Linked DNA regions of Danio rerio. The protein of the gene in region 3 purifies or fractionates together with the protein of the main gene of each other region. This does not show direct contact. Links are inferred from orthologs where the notes say so. Each region holds a gene or a part of one and is shown on either strand. Other genes may lie near its edges. The genes, in order: arid1b, smarca2, ss18, bicra and smarca4a.

Region 1 (3,516 bases), on a different chromosome or scaffold from region 3:
AGTATTCACAGCCTTTGCGGTGAAGCTCTAAATTGAGCTCAGGTACATTCTGTCTCCACTGATCATTCTTGAGATGTTTCAGCAGCTTAATTGAGTTCACCTGTGGTAAATTCAGTTGACTGGACATGATTTGAAAAGGCATACACCTGTCTATATAAGGTCCCAGGGTTGACAGTGCATGTCAAAGCACAAACCAAGCATGAAGACAAAGGAATTGTCTGTAGACCTCTGAGACAGGACCGTCCGGGGAAATTCCTGCTGCTCTGAAAGTTCCAATGAGCACAGCGACCTCCATCATCTATAAGTGGAAGATGTTTGGAACCACCAGGACTCTTCCTATAGCTGGCCGGCCATCTAAGCTGAGTGATCGGAGGAGAAAGGCCTTAGTCAGGGAGGTGATCAATAACCCGATGGTCACTCTGTCTGAGCTCCAGCGTTCTTCTGTGGAGAGAGGAGAACCTTACAGAAGGACAACCATCTGTGCAGCAGTCCACCAATCAGGCCTGTATGGTAGAGTGGCCAGACAGAAGCCACTCAACGCCTGGAATTTGCCAAAAGGCATCTAAAGGACTCTCAGACCATAAGAAACAAAACTCTCTGGTCTGATGAGACTAATATTGAACTCTTGAATGCCAGGCGTTACGTTTGGAGAAAAGCAGGTATCGCTCATCACCAGGCTAATACCATTCCTACAGTGAAGCATGGTGGTGGCAGCATTATGCTGTGGGGATGTTTTTCAGCAGCAGGAACTGGAAGACTAATCAGGATAGAGGGAAAGATGAATGCAGCAAGGTACAGAGACATCCTGCATGAAAACCTGCTTTAGAGTGCTCTTGACCTCAGATTGGGACGACGGTTCATCTTCCAGCAGGACAATGGACCAAAGCACACCGCCAAAATACCAATGGAGTGGCTTCACAACAACTCAGTGAATGTCCTTAAGTGGCCCAACCAGAGCCCAGACCTAAATCCTATTGAACATCTCTGGAGAGATCTGAAAATGGCTGTACACCGTCGCTTTCCATCCAACCTGATAGAGCTTGAGAGGTACTGCGAAGAGGAATGGGCACAAATTCCCAAAGACAGGTGTGCCAAGCTTGTGGCATCATATTCAAAAAGACTTGAGGCTGTAATCGCTGCCAAAGGTGCATCAACAAAGTAGTGAGCAACGGCTGTGAATACTGATGTACATCTGATTTTTCAGCTTTTTTACTTGTAATAAATGTGCAACAATTTCAAAAACTCTTTTCTCACACTGTCATTATGGGGTATTGTATGTAGAATGTTAAAAAAATGAATTTAACCTATATTTTTATAAGGCTGTAGCATAAAAAATGTGGAAAAAGTGAAGCACCATCAATACTTTCCGGATGCACTGTACAGTACAACAAAAAATAGATATCATGACAGGCCTATTTGTGCGTACTCATGGCTAGTGAATGAGACCCAATATTTTTTACTTATCTAAAGAAATGCTTCTTGATTTAAGCATTTTTGATGATTTTTGGACTAAATACAAGACAATAACTAAAAGTAAGAAAAGTGTAGATTTAGTGGATTGACCCAAATATGAAGTAGTTCACCCCAAAACAAGGAAATGTACAGTCCTATTTAATCTTTGAGTCTTTCCAAATCTGTGTGCTCTTACTTTTATCTGTGGAACTTGAAAGGTGAATCTCGGCAACTGCTTTGTTGGCAACAACATTTTAATAATTAATAATTGGTGATGTTCGTAGTGGAAGCTGCGATTTGATAGTTGAAAACATGTAAAAGCCATGACATCTAACCTTAGTAGACATGTAGATTCTACTACTGTCTCATTTATGAGAAGACAGACTACAAACAATGCAGGAATCTGTTTCTTTCCCCATGTGTATTAATCCTTTAACTCTCTCTCTCTGCGGATTCTGCATGTGTTGCTTGGCAGCTGAAAGAAAGAAGAAATGAAAATAAGTGTACTAACAACTTACCATTGAACCCTTTACATTTTGTTTGTGTTTTTGTTCTTATGTGTTTTTTTCGTCCATAGGCCAGCCGGGTATCAAGGTGGCTCCCACATGCTTGGAATGGGTCCCGGAGGGCCTTACAGCCTTCCACCGAGCAATAGCTCTGCCAGGATGACCCCTCAAGGTCCCTCCTACAACACAATGCCCACAGGTAGGATTTAAAATACAATATTTAAAAGGGTCCTATTATACCTTTTTTATATGTAATTTATTTTTTGTGTAATGTTGCTTTTAAAGCATACATAAAAAACAAAAAAACAGTGTATAGTCGATGTAGTTTCTCGAACTCTGTCGGAAATCTGTAGTCTGAACCACATTAGTTAAAATGCAAAGCTTGTGGAGTAACAACTTCTTTAGATAAAGTAATTAAATCTTTATATACTAAAGTACTAAATCTTGATATGATTGTTTTATATATATATATATATATATATATATATATATATATATATATATATATATATATATATATATATATTTTTTTTTTTTATATTTTTTTTTTATTATTTTTAATTCAATCTTAGTTTATAACTGCATCTGCAAATGCTGTGTTCTTGACTTATAACCACTTTTATAATGTGCTTAATAATTGTACTTTCATAATTTGTGACTGGTTGATTTTTCATTACTGCATTATTTTTACAAACCATTTGTATTTACGAGTAGTTGGAGGTTTTTAAGAGCATTCAGAATGAGTTAGTAAATGATTAATGAACTATTGAAATTGATGTTTATATATCTTATTATTCAGGCACATACTAATGGACACTATGTATGTTAATAAATGCTTTACTTCTTGCAGTTTTGTGACCTATAATCTGATAATGGCAAATGTCTGATTTTACCAGTGAATAAAATTGTCTAATATGACAGATTGCATGCCTATATCTCAAACATAATAATTCAACATCAGAGTTATTATGAGTAGAATAGAATTATTTATAGAAGTCAGTAGACCCACACATAATATTATTATCGATGTTGTGCCATATGTTTGTCTTTACCTTTATTTTACATCTACAGAATCGTGAGAAAATCGTGATCTTTATTTTAAGCAAAAAAATCGCTATTCTCATTTTAGCCAGAATCGTGCAGCTCTAACGTACGCCAGATTTCACGCTCATGTTTGGATTTACTAACGATGAAATGAACGTGAGAATGTGCGTTGGTCCACGCCAACTTCATGGAGAATCAGAACAGAATCGCCAAACTATGTTTGTAATGATGAAATTTGCAATCTTAGTTGGCTAATATTGGTAATGCACCCCTGATTGAGTAAAATACCATAAAGTAATGACATTATAACGGTATTATTTAAATCTAAAATTTAATTCAGAAAGTGTGAGATTATAGATTTGGCAGCATTTATTGAGGAAAAAAAGTGCTTAATGCGGTTCAGCTTGAGATCAGTTACAGTATACAGTGTCTTTGTTTGGAGGCTGTTGATGAGATGTTGTGCACATCTCTGGATGGTGCAGGACTAAGGGTCTGAATCTCCTGTAGGGCCCAT
Region 2 (4,177 bases), on a different chromosome or scaffold from region 3:
GCTATATTTTATTTTATTATATTATAATTGGCTATAATATATTATTTTGTGTTTTATTATATTATATTATATTATATTATATTAGGCTATATTATATTATTTTATTACATTATACTATATTATATTTTATCTTAATACATTTTAAATTATTTAAAAAAACTTCTTGCTGATAAAATGTGTAAAATATTGCTTGACAGATTGTAGCAAAGTATACACATTTAAAATAATAATAATGAAATATTAAATAATTAAATAATGAAGTATTCCTAGTATTTGAAGCCCCATTGGGTTCATTTAACAGTCCGTGTATACAGTTCATATGGCATCAAATTAAATTATCCTTGGTCTAAAAAGGCTGTATATGTAAAAAATTTTAAAAACTGTTTATTCTTTAAATAATGATATAAAATATGTCATATTATTATAACGGTTACTTTATTTATTATTAATTTATTGCTCAGAAATAATTAAATAATTCACATTAAATGGAAGTATTACATTACTACACTTATTTATTATTTTTTTTGCTTGAAAATCGTCTTCGACTCACATTAAATCAAACAAAAATCATTTAAATATACAACTTAACAACATGAATAAAAAACAAGGAGTTTTTCTTCTTCCTGTAGTTTTTCATCTTGTTCCCCAGAATACATGATAATCATACAAATGATCATTTAAATATTTTACTAAGGAGGCTTTTAAAGTTTAAAATTGTTAGGGTTGGGTGGTCTTTAAAGATTTGGACCAAGCTGGTAGCATTCCCCCTATGACTAAACCAATCAGAAGCCGTGAAGTTATTATTTCTTATGGGAGTCAAACTTCGGCTCAAACGAGCAATTTAATTGTAAAAAATTAAATGTATATTATACATTAAATATTTAATTTAACATTTAAATTATAATTAATGTAAATATACAATGTAATACATCACACTTGGTTTTACATCGAAAACTAAAAGCATTTTCCTCTTTGTAGCAAACAGTAACATGCTGCTTACACAACACATGCATTTGCTATGGATGTAATTTTCCCAATAATATCGAAACATAAAACAAAGCGTCTTTCTAAAAGATACGCGCGGACACAAAAAAGTATGAATAAAGCCCATTCTGTGCGTTGTGTGTGAACGCGAGAGCATATAGAAGAGTTTGTCCCTAAACGCCCTGGCGGACAGACGAAAGTTCCAGCACGTTCGTCGTTGTGTGAAGTGAAAGTTATGTATCCGCCAGCCTCCACCCCCAAATATATCACTAAATGATAGACGTGTTCTTCAGCCAATCACACGACAGAGGCGACTGCATTTCCTGCTCTCTCAGCCAATCAGAAATAAGAAAACACTAAAAAACGCGGACTTCAACTTGTCAGCAAAACAGAAGGGGGAGGGGATCAACATATGGCAGTCATATTTCTGAAGCTGAAATAATGTGCTAGACCTTTTATTGTGTTGTTTACCTCGCAGAAGGTAATTAGGTTTAAATACTCTTTGCTTGGACATTTATACTAATGTATATATGTCAGCGGGCAGCATTTTGGGCATTTTACTGATAAAATGTGGTAAGCTAGCATGCTAACATAACTGTACAGACGGTTAGCGAGCTGTTATATCAGACGGGGGGCTAAATAAGCTTGCTTGCTATTAACTTTGACAGCATAAAAGCAGGCGAGTAAATGACTCGTCTATGAATGCAAGAAAAATACCTTCGTAATCCAACGAAACAGAAAAGCTGCTGTGAATGTGCGTTGGTGGCGCGCTGTGATGGGAAGGTCCCAGAAAGTTTGAGATTTCAGGAAACTGCAATGGCGTGAGGGGAGACAGTCATGACAGCAGGTCGAGGAAGCCATGATCCGATCACAGCAACTCTCTCCAAATAACACCCCGCTATCACTGCATTGCTTCTTTTTAAAATAGGCCTTTTGCGTGTGATATCACCGTTAACAGCGACTCTTCCTAATTAGGCTCTATTTAAAGTTTTAGTCATCATGCTCTGAACACTAAACATAGGCCTGCACGAATGCATTTGTACATTCAACAGCAGAATAACGTTAGTTGTTTATTCAGGTCTTTAGCCTGGGCTGATCTGCGTGAATGAACTCTTGTTGGTTCATAGAGACGCGAATAATTACTGTAATTTTAAATAAGGTCTGTAATTAAATGTTAGAGGGCATTTTCTTGATAAAAGTGTGTTATTATCTTACCCTCTGCAATGTTTTACTCTTTACTGTCATACTGGTGGCTTGTGATTCTGTATTTTCATTCCAGAAGTGCCGCTTGAGGGGCGTGTCTGAGCACAGCGCGGGTTATAGTTATGCAAATAACCCTGTCAAAGTTTTGGTCTACCGTGTTGTCTTTTACTTCATAGTAGAAACAACAATAAAGCAGTGCTAGGAAACAATGCAACTTATTAAGTCAAAATCACTCAATTTAATGTATGTTTCCTTTATCTGAGTGGGTGAGGTCATAATAGGCTAATAATAATAATAGTAATAATAATAATTACTATAGTAATGATGATGATGCACTCACATGGGAGTCAAATGTTTATCTAATAATTATTAATGCTAATTTATATATAAGATAGTTTTACAGAGCAAATTAATTGCTTGTTTTTTTCAGCAAGCAACATGCTTAAGAAACTTATGCAAAGTAATATGAAACAATGCAATGTTAGGAGTAAAATATTTAACAATAGCTTAAAATAATTGATAATTGTTCTAAATTATTTGAAGCAGGGGGAAATTTGTTTTTAAAAAAAATCTGGACCCTGAACTATCAAAAATGTATTGCACACATTTCAGTATTATGACAGAACTTGGTTTCAGGTTATTTATATATAATGATGCAAGAAGTCACAGCAGAGTGTAATGCAGTTTCTTCTGGCGTGTTGCTTTTTATTTTAAAAGAGAACAATGCATATTTCTATGTATTAAAACAAGTTATACATGTCGGATTATTTCTGAATAGGTAATATTTATTAATAATAAATATAATCTTAAATGCATTTTAGTTTATTAATGTTTGTGCTCCTATAACTTGCATTTATATGAAGTTTTATGATCAATTTACAGTGAACCTTTTCATAAGATGCATTTGGCTTGAAAATGCTGTCATTTGGGGTGCCAAGCAATGTAGTGCAGGCATGACAAAAACCCAATAGACCCATCTTTTTTCTTCTTCTTCATATTTTCTTATTTCTTCATATTGTCAGTTCATGGGTAAAATAAAGTTTGTGGCAATTTTAATCTGATGATACTGTAACTTCTGATGTTTACCTAATACCTTATAACCACAGACGTAATTTTACTCAAATATTGAAGAATACGGTAGGAAAGGCTTCATTTATATTATCTTTAAACTTTTGTCAATTCCTCTCACAGCTTCTCAGCTGATAGATGGCCACCCCCAATGAGCCACCTGTTGGGATGTCCCATGCTGGTCCCTCACCGGGTGCTGGCCTGTCTCCGGGCCCCATCCTAGGACCGAGCCCTGGACCTGGTCCTTCTCCTGGCTCTGTACACAGCATGATGGGCCCCAGTCCAGGACCTCCGAGTGTCCCACATACAATGCAGGGCCAAGGAGCAGGAGAATACTCACAAGAAATGCACCCAATGCATAAGGTAGAAGAAAATTCAAAACGATTCAACCAGTTGCTTCTCTAAATGATTCGCCTTTTTGAAGCATTCAAAACAGAAATGATTGAGCGTATGCCTAATTATTGAACATTTTGTATTGAACTGAAACTAATATGAATCTGTCTGCCTGTCGTTAAATAAGAAAGCTGCCAAAACAACTGAACTGCTGAAAAATAATATTATCATTATAAGCATTACTTTTAAATGATCAGATCTTTTTTGTATACCTAACACTCTTAATAATTTACTTATGGTTTGAGATGTATATTGTTTTATTTCTTTTGTTTTATTTTTTATTTTTTATATTAAATATTAGTTTTTCTTTGATGTATTGATTTTATTTCTTATCCTTTATGACATTTATGTAACTAGCTGTACAATGAATATGTATCATTTGTTTTCAGGTCACACAATATTAGTACAAATTAATGTTTTCTGTATCCTGTTATTAATATTAATAATAAAAAACTAAAATAAATATAAAAAGCATTGAAAACAGCGCATGTTAGCGGCACCTAGTGGTCAAAACTATGTAAATGCAACA
Region 3 (4,161 bases):
ACAGTGACTCTCTAATGTTATTGATATATAGGTACACTATATATTTCAGTTTGCAAGGGCTGCACGATATTAGAAAAGTCAGATAATGCGATATTTTGTTTTGCTGTGATATACATTGCCATAAGAAATATAATTTTACCACATGATTTGAATAACCCATTTCTTAATTTAGATCAACTGGGATTATCAAGTACATCTGCATAAATATAATAAATTACAAGCATATATAATTAATTAAATAAATTAACAAACAGTGCTTTATGGCTTTCTGTGGAGTCAAGCACAGAAATTGAACAGTTATCAAAGGTAAAATAACAACATCTTTGTCTTTTCATCTTCATCTTTAATAAATAATCGAATCCTGCAATGTGACTATTGGGGATGCACACATTGCGATATTGATGCTCAAACGATATATTGTTCACCAATAAATTTATTTATTTAAAATATATATATATATATTTAAATATAAGACACATGTTTTTGGTCATTTATTGGTTTAAACCAAAATGTTTTTCCATGCAAAGCTTTCGTGTGACTTGTTTGTCAGTTTTAGCCAATTTATTTTTGGTACCAATGCTTTATACTATTGCAGACTGAAGGATGATAATTGTATTTATTTTTCTAAATCATTTATTTATATCCAATATGACTTATTTTCCTCAGGGCCGTTATACAAATGCATATACAAATGAATTATAATCATAAAAGAGGGAATTAGTTAAATATTGACTTGAATTAATGACTAAGAATGTCTATGGAGGTAAAGTTGGTTTTATATTCGGATATTCAGACATTCTCCTTGATCTGATTATATAATTTCAGAAAAGTATTCTCTGAAAATTGTAAAAAGGGAAATCAGATTAGCAGCAAATGACTATCAAAGAACAACATTGTTCACAGTGAATTACATAGTGTTAATGTTGTTTAGAAGTCATACATGCGTGCCAATTCCGATCGAATATTTAATGTAACATGGTAAACAATATAGACTTCTAAATGAACGAATGTGCGAATATAAAACCAACTTTACCTCTATAGCATGTCTTATATTATTATAAAAACTGAATATATTTCAGAGTGATTGTATAGTGATGTTAATCTCCAGGACCTGATTGAAAGCTAATTTAAAGAAACAAATTCACCAAAAGAAAAACACCAAAACAACTGCAGCAGAGAATATTATAAATAGCTAAATATTCAAAATAAATAATTTCCACAGAAGCTACGAAACAGTTGTTTAAAAAAAATCATTAATGACAACACTTTTATTATAATAAAATCATGAATAATCGTTATATCTTTGCCATAACAAAAATCTGGTTAATAAACTGTTTAATACTACTTATTATTGTATGCCATGGCGATATATGTTTTTTTCTTTCTTTGGATAAGGACAATATCGAAATATCTATAGTTGAAGTCAGAATTATTAACCCCCCTGAATTGTTAGACCGCTTGTTTGTTTTTTCCCCAATTTCTGTTTAACGGAGATTTTTTCAGCACATTTTTAAACATATTAGTTTTAATAACTTATTTCTAATAATAGATTTATTTTATCTTTGCCATGATGACAGTAAATAATATTTTACTAGATATTTTTCAAGACACTTCTATAAAGCTTAAAGTGACATTTAAAGGCTTAACGAGGTTAATTAGTGTAACTAGGCAGGTTAGGGTAATAAGTTATTGTATAATGATGGTTTGTTCTTTAGACTTTCGAAAGAAAATATAGCTTAATGGGGTTAACGTTAATAATTTTACCCCTAATATGGTGTTTAAAAAATGGCTTTTATTCTAGCCGAAATAAAACAAATAAGACTTTTTCCAGAAGAAAAAACATTTTCAGACAAACTGTAAAAAATTTCCTTGCTCTGTTGAACTTCATTTAGGAAATATTTAAAGAAGAAAAACATTAAAATGGGGGCTAATAATTCTGACTTCTACTGTATATCTCCATCAGACCTGAGTAACAGAAATCACTAAACAAATCAACAAATCTAATTAAAACTTATGCATTAACCTTGAATAATTTTATAAGACATCAGGAATGAAAAATCTGCTAACTTACACATCTAACGTGTCAAAAATAACGTTTGGCTTGTCGAATAAGACATGACTGAAAATGACCAAATCAGACATTGTTCATCAATAAATCAGATATTAGCATAACGTTACACGCTAGTTCGTAACGAAATGAATTTCATCACAAAATCAAATATAAATCGACGATATCTTTAAAAATAAATCGACGACAGTGTTATTGTCAAGTGAACATGTACGTTGTGATGCTTGTACACAATCCTCCATTGTGATTCATCAGACAGCCGAGTAGTAACGTTAGCGGCTAACAAAGACACAGCAGAACCGAGCAGATTTCAACAGCTTTAAAAACCCCGGACCAAAAAACACAAAATCAGCCCATTTTACGCTGGTATTCGGTTATGTAGGAGCTGTTAAATACGACGACAAATGTCACCTTATAAGCGTCTTGTTGGTGATGTTATGCTAGTGTTGGCGGGAGAGATGTTGCAGCTAACTAGCCTAACGCAAATTTTCCGTTTCCAGTTTTCGCTCGGCTTGACGAACTAATAAATGAGGTTACCTTCTGTATCCCGGCAGGCGTTATATCGCCCTTGGCACGCTGCCGGTGCGGTGCAAAAGCCACAGACATTGCTTGTTTCTGGTTAATTCAGATTACCGCTACGGTGGACACAAACACACTGACCGAGAACAAACGCGCTGAGCTGCGAAATCAGAATCAACCAACGCGCACGGAGCACACAGGGGAGCCTCGCATACACCAAATCACACTCAAGACAAGAAATAAAGAAGACCTGCTGGTAGCAAAATGTCTGTTTACATATTTAAACTCTGTTATTAATCATTACACAGTGTGAATGGGCGCAGTGTCCAGATTAATATAATTTATAAGAGCTACAAATCCAAAGCACACCTCTTTTTCTTAAAAATGGTTTGCCCCTAAGGGTCAGAGAAGGGGGAATTCCAAACAGCAGCATTTTGTGCACTGAGTACGTGCGCGTTTCCGTTGCACATGCAATGCGCAAAACGCCGTCGTGTGTGGAGTGTGCACATATGTTATACTTTAATTGACTTGCTATATTCATATGCGCAAAAAATTGAAGCAAATTTAGGAAATACCAAAACGCCATTTTCATATGCGCAAGTACTTGCATTTAATTTAAATTCAATAAATTATGCAATATATTATGACGAGCGGAATGAAAATCACTGCTTTACAACATGATCCGCTTTAAATGGCTGCTTCAGCATCCTAAATATTTAAATTAATATCTTCTTTAGTATTTACCTGCATCTAAATTGTAAGACTAAATGTAATAGCCAATTCAAAAGCATGTTGCAGATGCAGAGCCTGACATATAGGTGGCATTTTTATTTACATTCACAGTTAAGAAAACTATTTGTGCACCATTTGCTATTGTGCACAGTACTGTTATTTAAATGACCGGTCCTTTTGCATTTACAATTGTAAGAGAAAGTCGTTTATTTTCAAGAAAGCTCAACTGTCAGGGTCACACCTATCAGCAGGTGGCAGTATCGCACAGCAGGTAAACATTTTTGGTCTGCAATCTGCATTTGACAAGAGGAAAACAAATTTGCAGCTCAACATTTTGTAATAATAGCTTGCAGCACAACTTTAGATTTAATCTTAAACTGGAAGTATAAATATAAATATAAATATATATATATATATATATATATATATATATATATATATATATATATATATATATATATATATATATATATATAAATATATATATATATATATATATATAAATATATATATATATATATATATATATATATATATATATATATATATATATATATATATATATATATATATATAATCATTAGAATGATTATATATATAGTGTTAGTGTTCCGTCAGCCAATGGTATTTGGAGATCACAAGCTCAATGTGGAATGAGACCTGTAAGATCTCCAGACGTTCTTATGAAATTTATTGTATAACTGACAAGGTAAAAGAAGTAACATTCAAAACTGTACACTGTATATGTCCAGCTAAAGATGTTTTAGACAGATTTAATTTGAACATTGCTTATTCCTGTGATTATTGTTGCATGGAAAATGCATCTGTTGTCCTTATGTTTT
Region 4 (4,271 bases), on a different chromosome or scaffold from region 3:
CGAAAATACTGTTAAACCGAAGAGAACAAAGCTAGATGTAATTTACTTTCATTTAAAATTATTATCCTAAATAAGAAATGATTTTATTTAAGCAAAATAATCTCTTTTTTATTAATTAGTTGTGTTTTTTGTTTTGGCACATTATGATAGTAATTGTAACAATAACTAATCATCTAAATAATCAAAGTGAATAATAAGGAAAAGTAGTGTTACAGTTCAAGCCCATTGTATGTATATTCTTTTGCAGTTTACTTGTTATATTATACATTGTAGTGTTGTATATTAAATTAATTAGCATGCATACTCAAAACTGTAGACAACAAAAATTGACAGTGTTAAACAATATTTTAATTGAAAAAAGGTGAAGACAAGAATTTGATGTCATTTGAATTACATTTTTTCCCCATTTTTGTTACGTGTACATTGTTATAATCCGAACAGACCGAAGAGAACATAGCTAGATGTCATGTATTTTTATTTAAAATAAATATTATAAATTAGAAATGATTTTATTCTAAGCTAAATAATAATTTTAAAACCTTTTTAAAATAAAATTAATTAGTTACTTTTTTATTTTGGCATATTTTGATAGGAATCGTAATCGACTAATCAATTACTATTATGAAGTGAATAATGAAAGGAAAAGTAGTGCTACAGTTCAAGCACATTATATAAATATCATTTTGCTGTGTACTTGATATATTAAACATTTGTATTATATTTTGTAGTTTCATATTAAATTATTCTAAGTATATACTGAAGAGTTCAAATGTAAACAACAAAACTTGACAGTATTTAACTATAATTTAATTGAAAAAAGAAAAAAAATATTCTGATGCCCTTTTCCTTAAATTTTTGTTAAAGTGTTGTTATAATCCAAATAAAAATACTGTTAAACTGAAGAGAACAAAGCTAGATGCCATGTATTTTAATTTAAAATCACTATTATGAACAAACGCTTTCATTTAAGCAAATATACCCTTTTTTAATAAATTAGTTACCTTTTTATTTTGGATCAGATTCGTAAAAGGTTGTCTAAGCAACACATAATCAATAAAATGTAAAAAAGTAAATAAATAATCAGACAACCACTGATATAATCCTTGGTCATTATATAAGCATTACTTTCTAATTTGCTATTTATACACACACACACACACACACACACACACACACACACACACACACACACTACTTGTTCTGTGTTGTAATGTGGTTCATATGAAGGTTGAACTCCATTCCTTCATACTCAGTGTATCTACTCTACAGCTCATATACCACTTTAGTGTAGCACAATGTTCAACATTTATATTAAAACAACGTATAACGATGCACGATGCATGATACTGTACGTGCAGCCTCGATAATCAAAACAACGCTGTGGTTTGTTAATTAATCAGGCAATCGCGCCGGGCCTCTGTTTCCTGCTTGTGAGCGCTGTGCTTGGGTCCTGACTCGGAGCCCGTGCAGGGCCGTACTGGAGACCCCGCGCCGCCTGCACCTCTATCGTCTCGGGTGAGTTTGATACAATGTAGCAATTTCTCTATAATTCTCTATAACTATTGCAACGCTGCAACACTCGCATGCAGAGCTCAGCGTTTCCCGCGACGTACAACCGGCCAGTTGCATAGGTCGCTCAATAGGTTGATTTTACAGCGAATTCCCAAGCATACCCCCCTGATCCAAGAGTATTCCAACATAAACTCATATTTAGCAGGGATAAAGATAGGCTACGCAATCGCGACTATTAGAGCCCAAACGCCAAATATTCATCAATTATGTCAAGTGGCTCCAGCGAATGCGATTGTATGGCCTAAATACTACGTGTTTACAGTCAGTTATTGTCAGATTTGTGCGTATTGCGTCTGTAAACGCACATATTACAGCTAGGAAGCTAGCTAGCAACAGCTAACCAAATCAGCTGCAGAACGAGCGTGAAAAGGCGAATTAAAGGCGCTCCGTGCGGGTAAATCTGTATATTTGTTGAAAATAAAAGCCTCTGCTTTTAAAGGAGTGCAAAGAGCTGTTAAAGCTTTGCGAATTGTGAAAAATAACCGCCGTGTCCTGCAGGTCCGGAGTGTCCATTCATGTCTGTGGTGCTCTTCTGATGTGTGATGCTTTCAAAATGACATAAATCAGATGTCTGACAGGAGAAGCTTTCGCAGATATTTGTCAATGATGGTCGGTGTGATCTACACTGATACTGTTTTCCCCCCTAACAAACATTAGAGGCGTCCCCGCCTACCTCATCCTCATTTTGTGGTTTTGATTTGTTTAGATCGAGACTGTGATCTTGAGCACTGCAACGACTCTCCGAAGTCTGACTAATTCTTGAAAATAGGCGGTTGTGTGTCTGCAAATCGAGATATTTGACACCCTGTGGTATTTTTCTGTGTTTGAGAGAGTGTGAGGTGATGCGCGCGCTTTTTCCCTCACTTTCTCTGACGCTACACGACTGCACGAAAGTTCAGCTGATGCTTTCAATGGATACGGAAATGTTCACTCGTGTTAATTTGTGTAGTTTCTCTTGGAAGACTCACTATTTCAATATAAGTTTGTTCAATCATCCGAATATGTTGTCTAAAAACAAAATTTTGGGCCTAAATAGGATACACCAAAATGGGTACATAATTGGCTACACCAATTAGTAATTATTAATTGTAAGTATGTTATCAAAAGTGTTGTTTTTTTCTGTTTATTTGCTTTATTATTATTATTGTTTATACACAATTATCAATGTTGAAAGACTTACTTGCTAGCATAGTCTGATTTAATAATGTCATCATTATTTTTTTTGTTCAACAATATTGATTATATTTATTTACTCTGAAAATTGTAGCATTCAAAACTGCCAGGTAATTATATTTTTTGTGTTTGCGAATTTATTCTGTTTGTCTAAATATTAATTTCCTCTGAGTTAATCAACCCACATTTCACTACAAAGTGTAATGTTTGGATGTTTTATTCTGAAAACTCACCTATGTTGGCGGGGCTAATGCTTATGTACTTTTTTTATATTGATGTTTTTTAACTGTAGTTGACATGGATGATGAAGATGGCAGGTGCTTGCTAGATGTAATTTGGTAAGTTCAATATGTTACCTCAAAAATGTCAAATAACTGTTTATCTACTTGTTAAGTGTGACATCGCGCAAAGCGGCTTCCAGGTCCAAGTGCTATATCAAACTGTTTGGGGAGACTTATCAAATGATAATAATAAATGTTTACTAAGCAATGTAATACTTTCGAAAATCATGACCGCAATATATATGTCCATGGCTAATCCGATGGCCAGAAAGTGATACATTTTTTTATAAATTGTTAAAATTTTGGTGTCTGTGATGCAGCAATCCCAGAGACTGATGTATACACTATGATTTTATATAAAATTCACTTTAATATGAGATAGGACTAAAAAGTGGCTATAAGCTAATATTTTCTCAATTCAAATGAGTAGCGGCTTGGACCTGGAAACAATATTGCAAACATCATCGATACGTCATGACTTAACAAGAGGATAACGTGTCATTAGCTTGTTTTGTTGCATTGTAGACCAAGCTAAATAACAACTTTCTTGTACAGTGACCCACAAGCACTCAACGATTTTCTTCATGGATCAGAAACACAAGTGAGTACTTCCAGTGGTGGGCACACTTTTATAATGTAACCCAGATACATCACAGAAAAACACAACACCCTCATCCACCAAGAGTTCCCTGATCCTTCTAATTCTTTCCGGGTTATTTTTACATTTCTTCCCCTAAAAGGGTTGTCAAGCTTATTGATCTTTTCTTTAGAACATAATTGCTCCTCTTAATTTCTATTTCAATCCTGATTTTTTCCCTCTTTGGTTAATTCACGTATATGACATACTAATCTAATTTTCCTGTCTTTTGACTCCTGTTTTCTTTCCTGTTTGCTTGGCTTTTTAACTTGGTTGTGCCTGCATTTTGTTCTGGTTGATTGGTGCACTGTCCTCACTTTTCTCTTCCCTTGCCTTTTCCTCTTTGTCTGCCTATTTGCCCCTTGTGCGTCTTCTCCCTGTCGCTTTCACACGCCTGTCTGTGTGCTGTGGTGATTTCTGCCTGTCCTATCCTGGGTATATCTGTCTGTAGCTGGACACTGATGACCTATTGGATGGCTCAGGTGACCCGTCCAGCTCGTTCTTCTCCAGCACTGGGGTGAGTAAAATCCCCCATTTGCGCCAACCTCCTGGCTCCATCCTTTTTTTCGTAGCATGTGCTCCTCAACCCCACCATCCAAATCAGATGC
Region 5 (3,516 bases), on a different chromosome or scaffold from region 3:
ACATGGTTGAGAACTCTGGATGTTTCATTATGTAGTATTTTCTGATTTTTATTTAGATTTTAAACCTGAAAGGACAATTCTGACAATGTTTTAGGGTGTAAATCAACTCTGATTTATTCAATTATTGCATTAATAGAGTTATAATACGAACGCTTTTCATGAATTGGTTAATGAATGCAACAAAATATTTGGTCACACTTTATTTTGAGGGTCTGTTTGTTGAATTTAAGTTACATTGCATCTACATGCCAACTAATTCTCATCAAATAAGTACACTGTTAGGTTGGGGTTAGTGCAAGTTGACATGTACTTGCAAAGTTTCTGATAGTCAGTTAAATGTCTGTTGAAGGAGCAGTATCAGCAGATATTAAGCAGACAGTTTACTAATACTTAATTGGACCATCAAAATAAAGTGTTACCATATATGTGTGAATAAACATTTCAGTGTTAAATCCTTCTCTCTGCTGTACACAGGAGCGCATCAGGAGTCACAAGTACCGCAGTCTGAATGACCTAGAGAAGGACGTTATGCTGCTGTGTCAGAACGCTCAGACCTTCAACCTGGAGGGATCTTTGGTAATGTTCATCATACTCTTTAAGCCACAATCTTATTAAACACCCATCAAAAATACCAATTCGACCAAGTTTATTGTCTTTGTGCAAAAAAACTGATGTTTTTTGTGTAAAAAGATGAAAAATGTGTAAGTGTGTAACTGTCTTTCACACTGAAAAAGTTTGCTCTGGCCACCCTGGCGACAACGCTGTCAAAAATTTACAGATTAATATTTTTCTGATCCCATAACATAACCATTAATAGTTGTTTTGGAAGATTTAAAAAGATGTTTACCGCTCCCCCAGTGAGGGCTTAAAAATTTGCTACACTGATCTCGTATTTAGAGGGGCTATCACAGTATATCAGCCGATCAGTTATTCCCGCATAAAAAAATCTTGTTTTATATTATGAAAATGAACTTGTGTCATAGCTCACTGCTAGAAAATTGACTTGATTTCAACTCTCTTTGGCGGCCGCACTAGCGAAGATGTGCAACCGCTGGTTCCCATTGAAAATGAATGACTTCCGGCTACTTTTTTACGCTTTTTGTGTGCTTTCGGCTATTTTTCTGCTTTCGATGTGAATGCGCAGTAAAAAAAAAAAAAAAAAAAAGAAGTATTGTGTTAAGTATATCTGTTTTTGTACACTTTATTTTTTAGGTTTTCCACATTTTAAAATGTTTGTAACTTAATTTTTTTTTATAATAATTCCTTCATCAAAACACATTGTAAAAAATGCTGTGTTCAACACAATTACATGATGTTGTGTCAACAAAAATCGATTACTTAACCTAATAGAATTTACAAAAGTGGATTGAATATAAAACAATTAAGTTGTCTAAACTCAACTCGTTTTAAATAATTAGTTTGTCAATTTTTAAATGCATAAAACTTTAATTGACATTAATTTTCATCTTTAGTTGTTGTATTTAAGCTAAACATAATTGAATATGGCGCAATAGGTTATAATATAATGTTTTATATAAATGTTTTTTCCATCTACTGCATCAGTGTCTTTAAATTGGTACAAGCAACCTAAAATCATTAAATGAGTTGAGGGTTTGACATTTCAGATCTACGAGGACTCTATCGTGCTGCAGTCTGTGTTCACCAGCGTGCGGCAGAAGATCGAGAAAGAGGAGGAAGAGAGTGAGGGAGATGACAGCGAGGAGGAAGAGGATGATGTCGATGAAGGATCCGAGTCTGAATGTAAGTTGACAATAATGGTCTCCATTCACCAAATTGTTATGACTCATTTCAGTCATCAGCATTTAAAATTTAAATGGTATGAACATTTGAATTTATTTATGTATGTATCATATCATCTTTGCATCAAATTACAAAAAACAAATTACTGCTTGTGCGAGGCATTTGTAAAACAGTGTATGGGCAGGACAGTAAATGTTCTCTCCTGGTTGCCGTTATCGATCTCACACTATTTGTTTCCTATTTCTGAAAGTCTTGCCAAAACCATCTGGGAGTTTTGCTTTCATTTTTTTCAGCAAGTAGGATTGTAAAAAAAAGATTTGCTGTACTCTCGTATTCACTGCGCTCTACGTTTACTCCACTATAAAGACTTCCGCTACTGAGAAACCCAGACAAGTGAAAAGGGTCCATACTGCTACATGAATGAATCCAAATATTATCTGATTACAGTATAAAACACTTACAACTCTAATTTATATTAAGCCCAATATTAAAATATTTGTTTGTGTATATATTACAGCTCGTTCAGTGAAGGTGAAGATAAAGTTGAGTAGAAAGGACAAGGCGGAGAGAGGAAAAGGACGACGCCGAACCGGACGCAGCTCGCGGCCTAAACCTGTTGTTAGTGATGACGACAGTGAGGAAGACCAGGAAGAGGTACTTGAGAATAATCAATGATGATGATGATTATTATTACTGTTATTATTAATATCATTAATATTACTACTACTAATAATAATAATGATAATAAAGGAAAATATAATCTACATACAATACAAAAGTAAACATTAGTTTCCTTCTTTCTATTTTTGTTTTAACCCAAGCCCTACCCCAAGAGCTGAACAAGAATAATCAATGAAGAATAATTAAACTTAAAGGGAAAAAGTACACACACACACACACACGCACACACACACACACACACACACACACACACACACACACAAGTAACTAAATTTGCATTCAATTCAATGAAGAAAATGTTTTGACTCTTTAACTGCTCTAGCTCTTCAACCCCTTAACTCTTAGAGTTCACACCTGAAATTATGACGTATACGTATTAAATGCGGTTTGTTTGAAGTTTTTTATGAGGTTTCTTTTAAATTTGTTATAAGGCAGTGGTGCTCAACCCTGTTCCTAGAGATCGACCTTCCTGCAAAGTTCAGCTCCAACCCTGTTCAAACACACCTGAACCAGTTAATTAGGACCTGAACAGCACTTGATAATTATAGGCAGGTGTGTTTAATATAGGTCTCTAGGAACAGGGTTAGTTACGCCTGTTATAAGGTTTTGACCATTTAAAAAAAAGGTCTGTGTTCTAGGTAGTTAATAAGTTGCACTACTGTTATTAAAAGACATTTACACAGCTTCTTTTGTGAAAATAAATTGTTACTCTAATGTTTTTGAAACAAACTTATATTGTTAAAACACTGTTTAACATTTGTTCACTACTGTTTTTAACATGAGGACACTGTTACACTATAAAAAAAAAAAAAAGTTTTGCACATCTGGTGACACGGTGGCACATTTGCCTCATAGCAAGAAGGTCGCTGGTTCGACTCCTTGCCTAGGCCAGTTGTCATTTCAGTGTGGAGTTTGCATGTTCTCCCCTTGTTGGCGTGGGTTTTCTCCATGTGCTCCGGTTTACCCCACAGTCCAAAGACATGCGCTATAGGTGAAATGAATAAACTAAATTGGCTCATACACTCATAGTGTATGAGTGTCTGTGTAAATGAGTGTCTATGGGTGTTTCCCAGT

The links.
Region 1: the proteins of ss18 (region 3) and arid1b purify together in Homo sapiens (affinity purification with mass spectrometry; 4 studies listed by BioGRID and IntAct, counting the BioPlex papers as one, with this or other methods). This does not show direct contact. The link is inferred for Danio rerio from reciprocal best matches to the Homo sapiens genes SS18 and ARID1B.
Region 2: the proteins of ss18 (region 3) and smarca2 purify together in Homo sapiens (affinity purification with mass spectrometry; 6 studies listed by BioGRID and IntAct, counting the BioPlex papers as one, with this or other methods). This does not show direct contact. The link is inferred for Danio rerio from reciprocal best matches to the Homo sapiens genes SS18 and SMARCA2.
Region 4: the proteins of ss18 (region 3) and bicra purify together in Homo sapiens (affinity purification with mass spectrometry; 3 studies listed by BioGRID and IntAct, counting the BioPlex papers as one, with this or other methods). This does not show direct contact. The link is inferred for Danio rerio from reciprocal best matches to the Homo sapiens genes SS18 and BICRA.
Region 5: the proteins of ss18 (region 3) and smarca4a purify together in Homo sapiens (affinity purification with mass spectrometry; 8 studies listed by BioGRID and IntAct, counting the BioPlex papers as one, with this or other methods). This does not show direct contact. The link is inferred for Danio rerio from reciprocal best matches to the Homo sapiens genes SS18 and SMARCA4.

Annotation. Positions count from the first base shown.
Region 1 is NC_133195.1:5,081,276-5,084,791, reverse strand, and holds part of arid1b (AT-rich interactive domain-containing protein 1B), read left to right. Parts: intron 1-2,029; coding exon 2,030-2,157; intron 2,158-3,509; coding exon 3,510-3,516. UniProt on the Homo sapiens protein: Involved in transcriptional activation and repression of select genes by chromatin remodeling (alteration of DNA-nucleosome topology).
Region 2 is NC_133180.1:46,020,017-46,024,193, forward strand, and holds the start of smarca2 (probable global transcription activator SNF2L2), read left to right. Parts: upstream 1-1,374; 5' UTR 1,375-1,557; intron 1,558-1,701; exon of another isoform or gene 1,702-1,781; intron 1,782-3,378; 5' UTR 3,379-3,393; coding exon 3,394-3,618; intron 3,619-4,177. UniProt on the Homo sapiens protein: ATPase involved in transcriptional activation and repression of select genes by chromatin remodeling (alteration of DNA-nucleosome topology).
Region 3 is NC_133177.1:1,537,970-1,542,130, forward strand, and holds the start of ss18 (protein SSXT), read right to left. Parts: upstream 2,801-4,161; 5' UTR 2,675-2,800; coding exon 2,606-2,674; intron 1-2,605. UniProt on the Homo sapiens protein: Appears to function synergistically with RBM14 as a transcriptional coactivator. Isoform 1 and isoform 2 function in nuclear receptor coactivation. Isoform 1 and isoform 2 function in general transcriptional coactivation.
Region 4 is NC_133193.1:47,589,659-47,593,929, forward strand, and holds the start of bicra (BRD4-interacting chromatin-remodeling complex-associated protein), read left to right. Parts: upstream 1-1,457; 5' UTR 1,458-1,515; intron 1,516-3,037; 5' UTR 3,038-3,042; coding exon 3,043-3,083; intron 3,084-3,581; coding exon 3,582-3,627; intron 3,628-4,114; coding exon 4,115-4,180; intron 4,181-4,271. UniProt on the Homo sapiens protein: Component of SWI/SNF chromatin remodeling subcomplex GBAF that carries out key enzymatic activities, changing chromatin structure by altering DNA-histone contacts within a nucleosome in an ATP-dependent manner.
Region 5 is NC_133178.1:18,061,071-18,064,586, forward strand, and holds part of smarca4a (SWI/SNF related BAF chromatin remodeling complex subunit ATPase 4a), read left to right. Parts: intron 1-474; coding exon 475-576; intron 577-1,625; coding exon 1,626-1,761; intron 1,762-2,278; coding exon 2,279-2,415; intron 2,416-3,516. UniProt on the Homo sapiens protein: ATPase involved in transcriptional activation and repression of select genes by chromatin remodeling (alteration of DNA-nucleosome topology).